Astyanax mexicanus: one gene and its partners. The protein of the gene in region 1 interacts with the protein of each later gene in a pairwise test. Links are inferred from orthologs where the notes say so. Each region holds a gene or a part of one and is shown in the gene's direction. Other genes may lie near its edges. The genes, in order: cep19, calcoco1a and cep43.

The links.
Region 2: the proteins of cep19 (region 1) and calcoco1a interact in binary tests that used the Homo sapiens proteins (3 or more experiments, as listed by UniProt). The two-hybrid records come from large-scale screens. The link is inferred for Astyanax mexicanus from reciprocal best matches to the Homo sapiens genes CEP19 and CALCOCO1.
Region 3: the proteins of cep19 (region 1) and cep43 interact in binary tests that used the Homo sapiens proteins (3 or more experiments, as listed by UniProt). The two-hybrid records come from large-scale screens. The link is inferred for Astyanax mexicanus from reciprocal best matches to the Homo sapiens genes CEP19 and CEP43.

The regions. Positions count from the first base shown.
Region 1 is NC_064423.1:28,867,799-28,871,554, reverse strand, and holds the start of cep19 (centrosomal protein of 19 kDa), read left to right. Parts: upstream 1-1,308; 5' UTR 1,309-1,483; intron 1,484-2,890; 5' UTR 2,891-2,914; coding exon 2,915-3,044; intron 3,045-3,653; coding exon 3,654-3,756. Other genes in the region: pigx (phosphatidylinositol-glycan biosynthesis class X protein), read right to left, coding at 766-829. UniProt on the Homo sapiens protein: Required for ciliation. Recruits the RABL2B GTPase to the ciliary base to initiate ciliation.
Region 2 is NC_064420.1:1,180,859-1,184,614, forward strand, and holds the start of calcoco1a (calcium-binding and coiled-coil domain-containing protein 1), read left to right. Parts: upstream 1-964; 5' UTR 965-1,139; intron 1,140-3,756. UniProt on the Homo sapiens protein: Functions as a coactivator for aryl hydrocarbon and nuclear receptors (NR). Recruited to promoters through its contact with the N-terminal basic helix-loop-helix-Per-Arnt-Sim (PAS) domain of transcription factors or coactivators, such as NCOA2.
Region 3 is NC_064408.1:75,015,014-75,018,769, reverse strand, and holds the start of cep43 (FGFR1 oncogene partner), read left to right. Parts: upstream 1-1,523; 5' UTR 1,524-1,686; intron 1,687-1,836; 5' UTR 1,837-1,868; coding exon 1,869-2,072; intron 2,073-2,556; coding exon 2,557-2,610; intron 2,611-3,311; coding exon 3,312-3,366; intron 3,367-3,451; coding exon 3,452-3,540; intron 3,541-3,756. UniProt on the Homo sapiens protein: Required for anchoring microtubules to the centrosomes. Required for ciliation.

The DNA.
Region 1 (3,756 bases):
TACAACCCTTAATACAAGACTTCACCATTCCCCCCCCCCCCCCCCCCCTTTTTTACATTTATTGTTTACTTTTTTTGTTAAGCCTTTCAGACCTGAATTATCTCCAGTGATGGAACAAATGTAAGAATGCCTTTTTCTGTATGTAATGTGCAGAAAAAAAACTCTAATATTCTACTAGGAAATTTACATAACACATAACTATACAGTTAACTAAACTATTTAATTTGTATTTTTCGCATTGGATCATTTTACTTTGGAAGCCTGTGTGTATTATGTTATAGATTTTACACTTGTATTTCATAAACCATCCCTATATAGTAAAAAAAAACTTGAGAAAGTATTCTAAATTACATTAAATTAGTAAATGATCTGTTACTTTGCCTCAATGGCTCTAATACTACTGTTTCCAGTGCAGAGGACGGGGCAAAGTTGGTATTATAAACTCGGACTTTTATTATGAAGAATAAGCGACCTCAATCCGTTTAGTACGCTATTTATATAATAAGAGTCCAGTATTAAAATATGTTTTCACAAATTACATTTCCAAAATCTAAGTAGAAATCAAGAGTACTGCTAAACCCATAGAAACGCATAAATAAAGCAGCAGAAAGAGGGAAACAGTTACTTAGCTGTAGTTAGATAGCTTTCTAACCTAGGTAACGCTTAGCTGACTAGCTGACAACGACAGGGCCGAATAAGACAAAGCTAGCCAAGCTAGCGTTAAGTATTTCAGCTTTACCTATCAGTCCTGTAGATTATTATTACCTTTCTGTGAGTGCTCGCAATGTATTAAACAAAACACAATAAGGAAAAAATATAGAATAATCATTCTCAGATCTCATGCTGCGAAGCCTGTTCACAACACTGTGAACAAGTTTCCGTGTCCGGTGTTCTGTCGAATTGTGCTACCTTGTCAAACTGTGCTACCCTAGTACCATTTTATTTTTAAAAAGTTAAAACAGCTAAAAACAAACAAAAAAACACCATATTAGAAACCTTATTAGACAATACTCTCATCAGAAGCCCAGGTAGGATGTGTGGATAGGCTAAATCACTGTATTAGATGAAGTTAAAAAGATAATTGCATATATGCGTGATTAGAAATGGTATAGTTTATTATTATTATTTGAATATATATATATATATATATTTAATATTTATTTACAGTGTTTTTACAGTGTTTTTACAGTGTTGTTTAGTGCTTCCAATAAAAACTTAAGGAATTATCATAGAAAACATGAAAACATATTTAAAAATGTTGGTCGGCGCATGCGCAGTGTCGTAAAGAAGCACTTATCGTTGTGTGGCAAAACTCGACAGAACACCGCGCGGGAGCTGGGCGACAGCGGGCGCTCGTACGACCGAGGGACTGCTGTAAGAAGAAGACACGAAAAAGATGCGAGAATAACCCCCTTATTAAGCTTTTATTCTACATAAATGAACAGTCTGTGCTGCGGGTTCCTTTAACTATGATGAACTGAAGGTATGTAAGATTGATAAATATAAACACGTGACTGTTATTATGAGTTTTAACCGTTGCCTAGATACCGATAGAGACGCGCAGTGTGATCTCCAGCACAGCAGCAATATGGGCTTTAAACAATTAAGTTCAGTAGACTCTGTTTATTAATGCAATTTAAATATACAGATCTGAAAAAATAAGAGACCACTTAAAAAATATGAGTTTCTTTGATTTTACCAAATTAAAAGCCTTTGGAAAATAATCAAGAGGAATATGGATGATCACAAGCCACCAAACCAAGCTGAACTGCTTAAATTGTTGCACAAGGAGAAGCATAAAATTATCCAAACCAGTGTGTAGGACTGGTGGAGGAGATGCATGAAAATTGTGATTAAAAAATAGGATTATTCCACCAAATATTAATTTCGGAACTCTTAACACCTTATGAAGATGAACTTTTTTTTGCACTATTTGAGGTCTAAAAGCTCTGCATCTTTTTTGTTATCTCAGCCATTTCTCGTTTTCTGCAAATAAATGCTCTGTATGTCAATATTTTTATTTGGAATTTGGGATAAATGTTGTCCATAGTTTATAGAATAAAACAAAAATGGTTAATTTTACTCAAAAATATACCTATAAACAGCAAAATCAGAGAAATTGATTCACAACTGGATGGGTCTCTTAATTTATTTCAGAGCTGTATATCAAATTAACTTATCAAATTGAGATTGTAATGCATAATGTATAATTTTGGGACAAACGTTGCAGTTTTTAATAATCCTCATAAAAATATAAAATAAAAATTCTTGATTAATCCCACAGCAGTGAAATTTGCAATATTACAGAAATGAAAAGTACATCGCAGACATTTTAGTTTATATAACCCTTCATTTGTCTAAATGCACAACAATAAAAGAAAGCAGGGACAGCACCATTCAAAAGTTTGGACAGCTTAATTCAGAGTTTTTGTTAAGTTTTCTTGTAGATTGTTTTTATTTTTTTAACTACTTGAATGTCTTGCTTTATTATATGTGTTTGAGAGCATCAGTTGTGAAGAAATGAAAGTCAATCAAACTTTGAAAGTATCCTCAGTTGCGGTCGGTGATAAAGTGATAGTCGGTGATAAAAAACAGTAAGTAGTTATACTGTGTAAATGCATTCATTTATCAGATTTTGGTGGGTGTTGTCTACTGAGGGAAGGAAGGCCATGCGCTTTCCTTCACACACTGTGGGCACAGCAGCTTGTTGCTGAAGGATAATATAAGATGTATTTAATTCTGTATAATAATTACTTCTATAACAAACTATTGCATTTCACTTTCCTATAGTATTCCTATATTCCTGTCTGTGTGATGTCCTCTACTAAACTAGCCAATTGCTATAGTAAAGTACAGCCTTCTTTTTTTACCACCTTCTTTTCTCTTACAGATAACTTCACTTAAATGACACATAATGTCAATAAAGGCAAAGAAATGTGGAGTGACATTTGCGCCACCGTCAATTATTGTCATATATGAAAGTGAAGATACAAAGAAGATGCGCAAAAGAGTAATACCAGTGAGGAACTTCTTTCAGTTTTCAGGTTTGTTGTTCTCATATTGCTAGACACTGAACCCAGTCACATTTTAGTGTTTCTATTGCTGTAACATGCCCATTTTAATCGTTAAGTTTTAAAATAAGTTATTCAAAAATCTTTTCAGATAAACATATGAAGTAGGACTTGTTCAATTGTTGTGATAAGAAGCAATATCGTGTATATGTGTATATTGCCTTTAGAAAAAAATAGACCGACTTAAGACATAATTTAAATGCTGTACAGCAAAAAATATATATTTATTACTATTTTACTACAATCATTACATAAAATCTGAAACTCTGTATTTGTGCTGCAGTCACGGTGACCCATAAAAGAAATATAATGAGATTCATGTGTTTGTAATTCAGTGAATTCTTCATTAGCTAAAATACACCAACATGCCAAAAGTCATGGGATCACAGTATTTACATTGATCATGAAATCTTACCTCAGGGGCTCAGCTTATGTAGGCTGCACACACATATCCCATTAGCAGTATTTAGCGTTTATGGGATGTTGCAAACTTTATGGGACCCTATCCTATTTCTTGTCCCATGACTTCTAGCATATGTGTATAAATCAAAAAAATTCACTTTGATTAACTTTTCTCCTCAGACTGTGGCAGAGCAGCTGAGAGACTGAAGCACCATGCCCGTCACAGTCTGTACCTGGAATCTGTCCCTTTGGCTCAGCTGGAGAGACTACACACAGTCCTTCG
Region 2 (3,756 bases), on another chromosome or scaffold:
TCATAAAGTCTTTCTGCGCAGACAATTCTATCCAGATGTTGCCAGTAAGAGGCTATTAATTAACATGCTTATTTTATATAAGGGCCATTTGCTTGTTGTAACTGTTCCAAATTAAACTTAACAAGGATACGACTAAAATGTGTATTTTAACTTAAATATTATGGCATTATTGAGAAAAAAAATATTTTTACAGCATAGATTGGATTTGATGGGAGTCACACAACAATGCAAAAAATATATACACCTCTGAAGGATTATATTAATAATATTTCATGGTAAAGTTTATAGTTAAAAAGTGGGGGATAGGTAACTAATGCTATTTTTGTTTTTAGGACAATTTATTATATTTTTTATTACACTTTTTTTACTTTTGCAATTAGGTCAATGTACAAGACACTGTGCTTAATAAAAACATTTATTTATTTAAAAAATATTTTGTGTGCACATTCATATATGTAATTTCCTGGGGACAGAAACATAATATGTTATGTATATAAGTATAATAAGTTGTTATAAAATATCATTACTCATATTTTTTATTGGACACGATAGTTTTACGTTAATTCTGGTTAAATTAGATATTTAACTTTGTGGATTTACTCTCTCTTTAAGTTCCCACACTGACTTCGCAATCGTCACATGTTGACCAGTGCGTGTGTGCGCGCGTGCGCGTGCGTGTCTTCTTTTTACCCTCAATGCTATGAGGGGACGCCGCTGCTGTGACGTTTCCGCTTTCATTGGTCTAAAAAGGAAGGAAACAAAATCTCAACCAATGAGACAGGGTCATGTGAGGTGTCTGTCAAACGTCAGCCAATCACAGTAAAGTCCGCTGTTACATGCGACGTGACGTTTCGCGTTGCTGACCGAACGGAGCTGATCCTCTTGCTGTCTGGGGATTGTAGTTTTTATAAGACAGTGTTGTATAGTCTCGCACTGCAGGAGAACTACACTTCCCGTGATGCAGCGGCACCGTGGAAACAGCCATGCTTGTGTTTTTGTTATTGTTGTTAAACGCTTGCGGCCTCGCTGCGGACGGGTAGCCGTTTTAGGGGGAAAACGGAGCCGCTGGAGCCGCGGAACGGGTTTATTACACCGGACAGCTGAGGAGAATCAGCGCGGAGGAGCTGAGAGTGAATAAGGTGAGTTTATTAGAGGTTAAAAAGCTGCAGAAAGTCTGACTGCATGTTTTACACGCAGCAAAAAATGAATATCGGCTGGAAAAAACGGTCAGTTTGACGAATTGCTTGTTATAATCTTAATTTTGCGGATTATTCATTGGATTATTATTGATTACAGTTGTAAAATCAGTGTATTTATCAGTGTTTAAAGCTGCGTGCAGCCTGTGGTCATCTGTGCTGGCTGCTTTAGGCCTTGTGTTTTCCTCATTTGCCTCATGTGCAAACTGTAATTTAGTTAACCTAGCTAACATAGCTAATTACAGTCTGTCCTGATGTTAAAGGCACCATATAGGCCCAAAGAAATGATGTTCAGAAGGATTAATCTACTAGATAGGTGACCAGATTAAGATTAACCCTTTTATCCCTGATTTTATTTTCCAGTGAGACATTCCAAGTTGCAAAAAATAATTTCATGGAGGTATAAGTTATATATACACTTTATACTTCATTATTTCACCTCAACATGCCTTTTGCAATCATTTAGTCCCCTGTGGGCAATGCTAAAATCACTATTACAAACTGTACAGCGAGCAAGGCTTTCATTGTTTAATACTTTTAACGGACAGAGATATACTTTAGAGTAGTCTGAGGTGAAATGAGTTTTGATGGGAGCCATGATGCTCCTGACCGCATCCCATCATCCTGTCCAGAAGGAAAAAAAAAACACTGCTGATTGGCTGACTCACAGACTTTTTTGTAGATAGCAGGCCAATCAGAACAATATAAGCAGAACAATAGCTAGGTTACTGTATCTATACAGATATAGATATTTTAGTTGTTTCCACTTGACTTAATTGTTTAGCTAGCTAGATCAATTTTAACATTTTTAAGATGATCTTATTAAACTTTCTTATTCCTGCTTGCATCTCCTTGAAAATAGCCAAACTAAGTACTGATAAGCAGCCGTTCTGTCTTTGCTTTAATATCTTTCAAATTTATCTGTTTATTTTACTGAGCAAAATGTAAAAAAAAGACTTCAAAAGGCTTTTTTTTCACAAGATAAGACTGTACTAACTTCTCATTCAGTTTGTAAATTAATATAAAAATTAGGTGTACTTTAGGGCTGCAGCAGTTAGTAAATATAATCAATAATGTTGATTATACATACTTATTGTCTCACATATTGAAAAGTCATTTCATCCTATATAAATTTGATCAGATTAAACATATTTTTAATTGTTTAAGACTTGAGTAGAAACTGCTCTTAAAAATAGGGGCTAGGAACAATATTCAAGACAGTATGAAGAGCTATAGCTAGGTGTGAGAACCCTGTTATTGTGTAAATGTTTATAACAGGCTAATAATTACTGTTATAAGAATACTGAGAATACTGTATAATATAATATAATATAATATAATATAATACTCTATAATCTCATTTGCATGCTTGTGACTTTGTAAGTATTCTGTTAAGCAGCCTATTATTCAGAATAGCCTCTCGGTACATAGTTAACAGTGTTCTCTGTGTGTCGGCCTGTAATACAATATGTTCCGTTTCCTGTTGCTAATTAAAGCCCTGTTGGCCTGTTGGTTCTGTTGTACTGTATTGCTTTCATTCAGTCACCTGTTGCCTTTAGAACTGCGCTTCCCCAGTTTCTGTATTATTTTAATAACATAATTATATTTATACATTTACTTGATCTTTAGGGGTTTTAAATTTGGAGAGAGAAAGGCTTTTTGTTCTTTCTGTCTTTTCCTCCCTCATGTCTTTTATTTTGGTGGTTGTTTGAAGGTTTATAATAATTATAGGGTTCAGTGTGTTATCTAGCTGAGTTCTCTGTACAGATGTTAGACTGAATTCTCTTTATGAACTTCTCCACCGTCTCCACCTTCTCCGCCCATGATGTTGCGGCTCTTTGATGGTGCTGTAAACAGACATTTTTAGATGAAGTAATTATTGATTTCACGAACAGCCGCAAGATTTGGCGCTTTAAAAGCGTTTATACCTGTCAGTGTAGCTCTATCGGTCATATTTTAATGTATCGAGTGAATAAATTAGGTTTTATAATGTTTGTGAGTTTCAGTTTTTTGGTACTTTGTCTTTCGTAATACAGCAAATTACTTTTAAATCAGTGTTTATATGTATAATTTGAAAAAGGCTTGGACGAGTAGTTTGGGAGGGGCACTGGATGATGTATGGGTTTAGAGACTGGGCTGGATGGAGAGCTGATTGTCTTATTGTTTTTATCGATTTTCTGATCTGCATATTGTGAGTACACAGAAACATCATCCTCGCCTGCAGAGGCCGAAATGACCACAATAAAGTGTTTTTTAAAGGTCAGGAAAGTTTTTTAAAAAATTAAGCAGGACTGATATGTTTTATTACTTCAAATAAACACATTTCAGGAATATAAAAAAAATATGGTTCTTTAAGAGATGTGCATTAGGTAGGACAAACATTAAATTAGTATTAAATGATTAAATTAATTTTTGATGTCCGTCACAAGATTTGTTTGGCTCTATATGCAGAGCTCTTGCTGTATTCGACTGATTTCCCTGTTAATAAAGGTTTATTCAGTTTTTATTTTAAATGGCTATTAGGTACAAGTTGGTCATTTGTCAGGAGATATTTCTTAAA
Region 3 (3,756 bases), on another chromosome or scaffold:
AAAACTTGTGTTGCCACACTGTATGTCTCCTCGCCTCGATGTGTTCACAGCCCTCCTGAAGTAATACACTACAAATACTTTGTTACATTACTTAAGTAGAAATTTGGGTTAGCTCTACTTTAATAGAGTAATTTTTCCGATTATTTTTTACTTCTACTCTTTACATTTTCACACAGTTATCTGTACTTTCTAATTTTTACATTTTTAAAATAGCCTCATTGCTCCTATTTCATTTAAGCTTGTTTTCATCTGGCTTCTTATGGTTCAAAAACAAAATTAAATATCCAGATAAAATTCAGCAATTAAATGAATCGAAAAACATTAATGTGTATCCTTGATGCAGAACAAGGTCACCATGAACAATTGCAAAAAAAGGTGCGCAGTTCAACCATGTTTTCACTTAATGCCAATTTTGACTAAAACTCTTCAGCCTGTCATTGTTCTCCCTGTCATGTATCTAACTATTAAAGGGTGGGTAAATGCCTGCAAGTGAAAATAAAATGTTTTTTTTATAGTCTTTTTTGCAACAAACATGTAAAATAACAAAATACGTGATGTTTATTGTAATGGATGCAGGGTCTGAAAGGGCTAAAGGAATATCTCGGACAAGAAGTTTATTGTTCTTTTTAATGTGATTCACCCCCAATTATTTTAGACTCACTCGCGGGCTCCCTCTAGCGGTTAAATGGGCGGGGACTCGGGATATGAGCCTGTCAATCATGTTTTGCATTAACCAATTAAATCCTTGCTCTTAGCCATCAAACACATTTTGCATTGTGGAATTGCAAAGCAGATGCGACCTATCCATTATTTTGTGCATCAGCCAGTCTAGATGTTGTTTGGTTATTTAACGCTTAAATCTGATCCCGGTTGTTTTTACCTGTATATACATATGCTAATACTAAGTAACAGAGGCTGATGCATCTAACTAAATATGCATTTTAACACTTTATTTACAGATTTATGGGAATATTATTAATCATTTAATAAATTAGAACAGAAAATTGTACATTTGGATGTGTCAAACAACTGTTAATCAATGAAGATAATTTAGCTGTGCATTCTTACATTGACAAGTGGTTTCCTGACATTTCTATCTTGTAAACATGGTATGGTTTAACATAAGTATAAATCTTCTCTGTTTTACATTGCATCTGCAAAATAACATAAATACGACTTGATCAAGTTAATGATGTTTTCTTGACCTGAAATAAAGGCAAGGCAATATTTAAGGCACTTATGTGTACATGCAATATTTTGAACAGAACTGTGCTCTTACCCTGCTAATTGAACCTTCACACTCTGAAATGCGGCTGGGAGTAAACAGGATTTTATTGGAATATCTGAATTTTTGGCTGTGTGTGATAGTAATGTTATGAAACGTGCTGAAAGTGAGCGTTGTGATTGGCTCAGTTCAACGGTAGTCAACATCCTATCTAAAAGGGATCAGCTGTCCCATTTCCCCAATTACAGCTCCTTCCCTCCATTCCTCCTCCTCCTCTCCTCTCCTCGATTCCTCCACCTTCTTCCGGGGTAGGAGAGGAGGAGTAGGAAAGGAGGGGTAGGAGAGGAGGAGTAGCAAAAGTTTCTGGACGCAGCCATAGATTCTGGGGCAGATTACAGCGGAAGTAGGGGTCAAACTTGGTGATTTAATTAACTTGCGTTAACGTTGACAGCCCTAAGCAGGTATTTTGCCCTGTACTGTTACTAAATTATATCTCTGCTGTTTGTAACAAACCAAACCGTGGTAAAATCGGGTAAATATTGGTAGAGTTGTGATTTTTATATGTGTATTAAACACCTTCCTTAGTACTAATAAATGCACTGGGTCGTAAGGTTGACTCCTCCAATATGGCGGCCACGATGACATGACAGGAGGCAGGCTCTGCGGCGTCGTCACACATACTACCGGCCGGTTCACCTCAGCTGTAATGAAGACAGTCCGCCGGCAGAGGGCGCCGCGTGGTCACATGACAGTGGGGTTGAAGATGTCTGCCACGGAGGAGGACACGGAGCTGAGAGACCTCCTGATCCAGAACCTGGAAAACAACGGCGTTTTAAACAAGATTAAGGTACTCCTGAAGCTACAGCTGGTGATAGTGGAGAGTTTTACTGAGGCTGTGTGTTGACTCTTAGTGAGGTAACGTTAGTTCACTCTAGTACAGCAGTGAGAGCTAAAGTTTTGGTTAGCTTAGCTTAGCTACAGCTGGGTTAGCCTGCTGACTAGCTGAACTGTAGTGTCAACAAACTGTAACTATGAGATAACCTGAAGACCTGAACCACTGAGCTCTCCCCCGAACTCACAGATTGAGTTCTTCTCTAAACACGGGCTAGTAAAGAACGTGTGTATGTGTATGTGTATGTGTATGTCTGTGTATGTCTGTGTTTGTGTGTGTGTTTGTGTTTGTGTTTGTGTTTTTTCTGTGTGTGTGTGTGTGTGTGTGTGTGTGTGTGTAAACGTGTGTGTGTAAACGTGTGTAAGTTAATGTGTATAAAAAATATGTTAATTCTGGTTTACTGAAGTGTGATCTGAGTGTAGCCGGTGTTGTTCTGCAGGCTGAGCTTCGAGCTGCGGTGTTTCTGGCTTTAGAAGAGCAGGATAAAGTGGAGGTAAAGTGGAGCAGCAGTCTGAACTCTAACTCACTCAACTCTTCTCTATAAATCACTGTTTATCATAAGCTTCTGTACTGAGAGCTAGCTGAGTGATATGGAAGCCCCATCCTGCCACCTAAAATAAAAATATATATATTTTTCATTATTTCCAGATACTATCTCATTATTTTGAAATTGTAAGTCGTTATTTTGAGATACTATATCATTATTTTCGTCTGTATCCGTGTTGTTTTACAGATGTCTGCAGCTGTTGGTTAATAAAGGATTCCACTTCAGCTATATTTGTGTAGTTTTTCCTCCTTTCATAGCTGGCTCTTCTATAGCCTTCTCTCCCAGGTCCGGAGGTTTATTTTGATATTGTTTGATTCCTCTAAAAGCACCAATATTTCATGATTTGTAAATCTACATCTAAAGTAATCCTCAATGATTGTACAATGTTGCATCTTTGTCTCACCTGCCTCTGTCTCTGTACAGTGTGTTAGTATCTCAAAATAATGACTTACTATCTCAAAGTAATAAAACATGATTTCAAAATAGTGAATAAGTATTCCATAATAATGTCTTACTTTTTCAAAATAATAAGATAGCAGTTTACTTTTCTTTGTGGTGAGAAAAGGCTTCCATAGGGTAGCAACACATCTGTTATATGAGTATGTAATATGTATTAGATATTAATGTCTCCTTCCTGTCCTCTCTAGAATAAAACCCCACTTGTAAATGAAAATCTAAAGAAGTGTCTGAACACTAAAGATGGTAAGTGAAGCTGCAGGGCTGCTGTTCTCCCTCACTGTTTCTCAGAGCTTTAGCCTTGTTTATAACTGGGGTCCTTCTCTCGCAGGACGCCTTGTGGCCAGTTTAATCACCGACTTCCTACAAGTCTTTAATTTAGACTTCACTCTTGCAGTCTTTCAGCCAGAAATTAACACGGTACAGTATATGTTCTGTTTTATTACCATGCTCATAACATTCAAACCAACTGCAGAATATTGTGTATATCACAGTTTTTATTTATTTATTTATTTAATATCAATGTGTTAAAAATAGAACGTAGTAAATATACTAAGATAGTTCAATGAACTCACCTAAACTACTTAGTGTTCAAAGAGATATTTCCAAATATTCTATCGCATAAGACACAAGTTT